2 linked regions of the Arabidopsis thaliana genome follow. The protein of the gene in region 1 interacts with the protein of each later gene in a pairwise test. Each region holds a gene or a part of one and is shown on either strand. Other genes may lie near its edges.

The links. The genes of interacting proteins can lie anywhere in the genome.
Region 2: the proteins of AT1G18335 (region 1) and AT2G43220 interact in a two-hybrid assay, tested with the Arabidopsis thaliana proteins (one large-scale study listed by BioGRID).

The regions. Positions count from the first base shown.
Region 1 is NC_003070.9:6,309,282-6,313,038, reverse strand, and holds the start of AT1G18335 (Acyl-CoA N-acyltransferases (NAT) superfamily protein), read left to right. Parts: upstream 1-1,665; 5' UTR 1,666-1,712; coding exon 1,713-1,817; intron 1,818-1,914; coding exon 1,915-2,017; intron 2,018-2,396; coding exon 2,397-2,476; intron 2,477-2,576; coding exon 2,577-2,885; intron 2,886-3,001; coding exon 3,002-3,078; intron 3,079-3,260; coding exon 3,261-3,303; intron 3,304-3,385; coding exon 3,386-3,502; 3' UTR 3,503-3,510; exon of another isoform or gene 3,511-3,584; coding exon of another isoform or gene 3,585-3,611; 3' UTR 3,612-3,645; intron 3,646-3,730; 3' UTR 3,731-3,757. Other genes in the region: AT1G18340 (basal transcription factor complex subunit-like protein), read left to right, coding at 181-227, 421-458, 545-590, 690-743, 828-896, 1,004-1,080, 1,165-1,260, 1,352-1,427.
Region 2 is NC_003071.7:17,962,316-17,966,072, reverse strand, and holds the start of AT2G43220 (Cysteine/Histidine-rich C1 domain family protein), read right to left. Parts: upstream 1,855-3,757; 5' UTR 1,734-1,854; coding exon 117-1,733; 3' UTR 1-116. Other genes in the region: AT2G43210 (Ubiquitin-like superfamily protein), read right to left, coding at 2,513-2,751, 2,842-3,084, 3,273-3,757.

The sequences.
Region 1 (3,757 bases):
GGCAGTGATCTTGAAGCTTAGCTTTCTCTCTAGACTGGGTTAAGTAAGGAACATTTTAGGTTGACATGTTTGTTCTCAGCTAAACCTATAGCATGTCTAAGGCCATCAATGTTATCTGGTAATATATGTATTTGATTTTCAGTCTTCACATTTTGTTGTTGACTTAATTTATGGCTCTAGATATACAGAGGGTTTTCCGTTCTGGACATCTTCATCCCCAGCCTCGGGTGAGTGTTCAGTAGGATATATGTATCAATCAGTTGTCTTGGATAAAACTTTTCATGTTGATTGCTTTGTATGAATCTTCAGCTTAAAGTATTAATGAGAATATAGACTCCTTTTTCTTATGTGTTATCTGTTCTATCGTATACCCCCAAAATACAGAACTGATTGTGCTATTGACGTTTATATGAAATACAGATTTTATGCTTGCAAGGTTCCCCAGATGGCCCGGAACAGTATGTTTCTTCCTTCATTTTTTTTCTACTTGCAAGATTTTGTCTTGTTTGTCTGGTCTCATTAAAAGGTTTTGTCATTCTTTCAGGTATGTTGCTGTTATGAACTCTATCTTCTCTGCCCAACGCTTGATGGTAATCTTCATTTTGATTGGTTCTTTGGGATTTCCGGTTCTTGATGTTCTCTAAATCCAGTATCATGTACCCAAATCACTTCATCAATTGGTTCTTTAGGTTCCCATTGATTCGTGTTACATAGGTGTACAGAACTCAGCATTTTTGCAGCAGGTAATATCATTTCTCCTTTATACATGATTCTAACTCGTCAAACTGGACCTATGCGTCAGCTGTTATCTCCTGGCTTATTTGTAGGCATCTTATATAACTGGTGGTGTACATCATACACCTAAACAGTTGGATGGGCTATTTCAATATCTAACGGTACGCAACTCAAGTCCAAACGCAAACCATTATGTGACTCGTCTCTCATTTAGCGAACTCAATACTCAATGGCTGCTAACTCTGGATTGTTTTGTTTTGCACAAAAGACAATCTTTGCAACCGATTTGCACTCCCGCGGTTTTGTACAACTTCCTAAACCCATAGGTGTAGATTTTCGCGCATCGTAAGTGATCAAGTCATTAACTCTTCAATTAATCGGGTCTTCCTCTGCATATATAACAGATGGTTTTAAGTACAAAATTTGCAGGTGCTTTTGCCACAAGAAGACAATAGATATGGGCTACATATGCTCAGTGTGTCTGTCCATTTTCTGTGAGCATCACAAGAAATGTTCAACCTGCGGGTAAGAGATTTGACCCGTCATGTTCTTTCTCAAGATAACAATCTATCATGTTGTTTGATACTAATATCGAAAAGCTTTTGGAAATTTGCAGGTCTGTATTTGGTCAGTCTAAACTTGATGATGCTTCATCTGCCTCTGATAAGAAGAGAAAAGCTCCTAGTACCTAAAATCATCTTTTGTGCCAGAGAGAAACTGCAAACTTTGTTTAATTGTGTCTTTGCGTTCATTTTCGATAATTTTTATACCATATATCAAAGTGAAATCAATTTTGCAAAGTTTTTGACTCTTTTTTTTTCCTTGAGATAGTACCCGTTGACTTGAGCAAACAAAACAAAAAGGCCTCTAATAGTCCATATAGAAAGTTGGGCTTCTCTATCGAATTTGAACGAATACGACATTTGGGCTGACGTCATTTATTATTGTCGGATCTATTTCGGGTCCAAACCCGTTTGATGGATCCGTCTCCTACCGAATCACTTCAGACGTGGAGAACGAACGAGACAGAGGGAAGAGAATCATCGGTGTGGCGAGCAATGGATTTGAAGAAACGGCGAAAGGTAAAAAAAATCTCGGAAGTAATGTGTATGTTTCATAGCACTCGAAATTTCGATCTTTGATTTTGTTCGAAATCGATAATTGAGAATTGTCGTGCAGATTTTGGAGAAGAAAAAGACGATTCATGACCTTATAAAAAGAGCTTCTTCCATTGACGATCCTCTTTCTCCGTTTGATTCTTTCCGCCGTTACCGAAGAAACGGTAAATTTGTTCTTCTGCTCAATTTTATTTTCGCCAGTTTCTCAAAAATATGGGATTTTGTTTATGCGAACTGATTATCATTGACAATGATTTGATGCATATAAACTTACTTTTACAATTCCTAATGTTACTACATTATGAAGTAGATGTAGTGTTAGTTGGAATTCGTGCTTTTTAACATGGATTTAATTATCTGTGAATCCCTTACTCATGCAGACTTTGGTAACCTATGATCTAGTGTGCTCTGATTAGTTGTTAGTTAGTTATGATAATGTTTGTGTGAATTTTGTTTTCAGTGCTTACTTGTTTCGTTTTAAGTTCACAGAAGAGTCTTGATGGTTAGCTAATTCTGTGTATGTGTTGTTCTTACGTCTTGTAGACTTATCTTTGTACCTGGAATCTGGCCGTGGAGATAGACTTTCCTCGTCTGTGAAACATCACATTCAAAAACTCTTGAAGGTATTAAAGAGAATGAAGTATCATTAAATTTTCTGAACATACTTTCTTAGAAATTTATTCTAGATTTATTGTTGTACTCAAATTTTTTTACCATTCACAGACGAACATGGAAGGGTTCTATGGGTCTGATTGGCCTATACAAGCAAAGGTGAAGCGTAAGGAGATGTCTTCCGCTGATGCACATTATATCTTTGTGCGTGAGCTGCGTTTTGGTAAAGCCTATGAGACATCTACTCAAAGAACTTGCATGGAAGGGTGTAATCAGATAGCTGGATTTGTGCATTACCGGTTTATTTTAGAGGAAGAGATACCTGTCCTTTATGTGTATGAAATACAGCTGGAATCCCGGGTTCAAGGAAAGGGACTAGGAGAATTTTTAATGCAGTTGATTGAGCTCATTGCTTCTAAGGTTGATTCCAAAATTAGTCTCTTATATTCCTATTTTTCGATATTGATGGCATTAGCTTCTGTTTTCAGATTCATAGCCTGATGATAATATTGTTATGTTCGTTTTCATCTTCTCAGAATCGGATGAGTGCGATCGTGCTAACTGTTCTAACATCTAATGCATTGGCAATGACTTTCTACATGAGCAAGTTAGGGTAAGAGGTACACCTTTTGGAAGATGATCTTATTTCATGTAACAACTCAGATGATATTTTTTGCAAGTGTTCATGGGTTCCTAATATTTCTGTTTCTTGCTGTAGTCAGTCATTTCTATTTCTCGACTCTTTACTGATATTGGCTCGTCCAAACATCTGAATTCCCATTCGTTTTTATACAGATACAGAATATCAAGCATTTCTCCCTCAAAAGCTAATCTTCCGGTACAGAATCAGTAGTCTTATTTTTCATTATTTTGTATAAGGCATTCACTAAAAGAACTTCTACAATTTTTTGTGTTTGCAGACTCTCTCGGTGAAGTATGAGATACTTTGCAAAACTTTTGATTCCGAAGCTAAATCTGTGTTGGAGGTTTGCCCTTTCGCTGCACCACTCACATTTATGACAAAACTGCTGATCTAATATAATATGTGAGTGCTTCTTTTGCTTTTTATCTTGGTATTGTATTATTAAGACTGCTATGATTGCTTTATTTTGCAAGAAGAATGATGAAGAACCTACCAAAGATTGAGTATCAAGCATGGAATAGCACATATAGATTCACTGTAAGTTTCCACTTTGGTCTACTGGAGATATCAGCAATCGTTTATTGTTTAGTTTTCTGAAAAATCTGTTGCTTGAATCTGACAGACCACAGAGGGGTGTGATAAGATGCAT
Region 2 (3,757 bases), on another chromosome or scaffold:
AATATAGAAAACAAGTTTATCTGAAAATAATTGAAAAACATTACACAGCCTCCATCTGTAAAAACCCATATTCTTTTTATGTTTCCAAATCCTTCCTTTCGCCTTCCTTCAGGCATTCAGAATTTCGCATTCTGAAAACAAGCTTTTGAGCAATAGTAGTACTCAATATTTTTTCTAGTAACCTTGAAAAACCTAGGGAACCTACAACGAGAGCCACAATCAGTGCATTTTGGTCTAGAATCGTGATCGTTGAAACCCACTTCAAACTTATTCTCCCTGTTCTTCATTATTATTCCAGGTTTTATGTTCAAAAAGTCCCCGGTTACGCATTCAATATGGCACACGACCCCACAATCATCGCATGTATAGAACCATCTTTCAGGATTGGTTTCGGCTTCACAGATTTCACACCAATATTTACCTTCAGGCGCCTCCTCCCCAGAGCGCAAAACTAAATAATGTGTATCACACCTATGCTTTATGACTAATGGTAGAGTGGCGCATTTGTAATCCAAAGAATAATCACAATCAACACAACGCAGCACATTGAGTTTATTCTCACCGCAAGCTAAGCAAGTACCACGATCTATTGTGGTTAGAAATAACGTGTGAGGATGAAGTTTGGGGTGCTTGAAGAAAGAGAGAGACGCACACAACACATCGAGTACCACACCCTCTTCATCCTTGTAGCTAAAACCCCTTCCATCTCTATTGCAAGCATCACAACTGAAATTTTGTTCGCTAAAATCCTTCCCGAAGCGAAGATAAAATATACCTGTGGAAAGTCCATGTCGTTTCGTAAGAGGAAGATTCGCACACTCTTCGTGAAGAATAAACTTGCATTCCACGCACTTGTAGTGCTTCTCAGAAGAGACTGGACGGGCGCAAGCTTCACAATGCATGTCTTCAGCACCATCTATAAAAACATCCTCAATAAGGAATAAGTTATGTTTCTCGTGGGAGAAATGATAAATTACCCCTTCCTCGATCACTTCAAATGGCGCAACGTCTACTACTTCCTCAGGTATCCCTTCGAGTTCGGTCCCATCCCACACGTCTTTTCTAGTTGCACATTTTGAATGAACAAAAAAATCTGGACATTTGTTGCATGAATAGCCTCCGTACGTGGTGTTGATATCTTGACGACAGATTTCACATACCCAATTCCCACGTTTGAGAGGATATGAATGTGAAATGCGATGATCATGACGATTGATGTTGATGACGTGTGGTAGATCAATACAATCATAATGAAACATGACAGAGCATGGTAGGCATACATAAGGGTTCCGTTCACCATGCGTACCACAAGCATTGCAAGTGAAGGATACTTCCCTTCCCATGAGGGTGAGTGCATGCTCGTGGCACTTTGGATGATCCACTTTGTGGGGCGGGGGCCTGTTTCCGCATTCCATATCTATGCTGAAATTGCATAACTTACAATGGTAAACGAAGTTGGAGAGTTTCCGTTGACAGAGGCTGCACTTCTCGTCAGAGTAACTAGGTGGCCCTTGGAGGAGAACCTCTAGGGGATGGTTCGGGTGACAAGGGTGGTTAATATTCTTCGTTGACCTTGGCACGCAATAGGGATGCCATTTTATATTGCATCTGAAGCATCCATAAAAAACTTCAAAGAAGGGTATAGCACTCCTATGGCACTCTTGGCAAGTGAACATACGATATTTTTCATATAAAGGATGTTCGTGCCAAAAGAGGTCCAGCGTCTTAGCCATGGGCAATGTTAAGAATGGTTGTGGATACGATGAATGAATAAGGATCAGGGAACTTTAAGAAAATTGAAAAGGTTTAACTTCAATTCCTAATTGATCTCTAAATCCTTATATTGTTGACCCGTATCACTACCCACGATCTCCGATATAAATCACTCAAGTTGATCATCGTTAGTTGTACGCAACTAATAGAACTGGTTTAGTCTTTTCTTAAGGCTCAATTTGGGGGGTCCAAGTGTTTATTATATGTCAAAAAAATTATTTAGTTAGTCCGACTAATCTTTCACCGGATTATTAAAATGCGTACTCATCGTTGACTATAGAAATATATATTAAAAAATTGTCTGGTTGATCACATATATATGTTTTGTTATCCGAGTTGATAATATTTTGGAAGGTGTGAGGATGAGCACAAGGGAAACCGCTAGGAGAACAAGAAGCTGTCAGTGAACGCCTTTTCACAGTTCAATGAAGTCTTCACTTGCATAGAAAAGAATATACAGATTCTTATATTTAAGCAACCATTTAACTCTAATATTTTTGTTATGATTGGAACCGAAGTTAATCAAACGACACTAATTAATTTCTAGAACCGAATTTAATCAAACAGAAATTGCTAGTTTTTTTAGATTTAAATTTAATACGAGCAACCGAAAAAACGGAAACGCATCAGGATACATTTTGCAGCTGGTCTCTTAAATGGTTCATAAAGAGTCAAGTATAAAAAGTAAACACCCGAGCTGTTTCTGTATCTATCCACACAGATTTCAACTTCTCTTATTTCATCGTCTATCATTACTGTCTCCACCGCTTCCACCACCGTACTGTGTGGAGTTTCCGTTCCAAAAAGCGTTTCCATCACCAAACGGAGCCTCATCTTCATTGTGATTCAACGTATGGATGTTACTTCCAATCCGAGAAGTGGTTGGTCTCCTATTCCTAACGTTGCTCCTACCTTCTGATGGATCTTGAAAGGACGTCCCTACTTGCCCCAGATTGTTTCTCACCTCCGTATTTGGTCCTATAGATAGAAAAAGAGAGAATCAGATTAGCAATTACACGACTTTCTGCATTAGAATGGATTTTATAAACTCATCATATTCCCGCATACTTGTTTGACGTTCTGGAACAGAGCTTGATGCGTTGGCAGTACCACCGCCAAAATATGAAAACGGGTTTGCATAAGACAGTACTCTTCTAACATAAGCAAAGTAACCGCCACTATTAGGGTCTGTGTTGTTGTTAGACTCCGAGTAAGATGTTCCTCTTTGATAGACGGTTGCTCTTTTTCGCGGAACTACTACAAGTGCTTGTCTATCGAACAATCTCAACTCGGATAGAGACTTATCCAGATCTGCAGAGATTAAGAGTAATGGAGTTATGTATCTACTACACTAGTCCAAACTGACCAGAAAAAAAAAAAAAAAAAACCTAAATGGCAGAAAACATCATCTTCGATCAAGATGAAGCTGGTTTTAAGGTAAAATGTTCTTTACCAAATAAAAATAAAAATCTATTGGATGCATTGTAGATTTTACGTACCTTGGTCAGTATACACCTTACGTGGGTAAGGAACCGCAAGATCATAAGCACCCAGTCCGATTGTTTGATTACTGTTCACATAATCCTTGACCATTCTCAATATACTTGTCACAGAAAACTTCTCCTGAAGGCTACTACCATCAGGTAATCGAATGTTTAAATGAACGTCAGATGCTTTTTTGGATTTTTCTCCATCCTCTTCCTCTCCTCCTTCATCCTTTGGCTTCATGGTCTCTTTTGTATCGACAGATTTTGTTAGATTAATGTCCCTTCCACTAACACCTACACCACTATCCTCTTCATTTATCACAGTTCCCTGTTTCCTTTTTCTATCAACAGAAGATCGAACCCTGGATGTATTATCATTTGTTCCTGGGGCTGTAGGACGAATTGGCTCCTTTTCTGCCTGAACACGCAAAGGGGTCTCTGTCGCTTCATGTTCAACATTGGCCTTAGTTCCATCAACAGAGGGTGCTGGCTGGTTT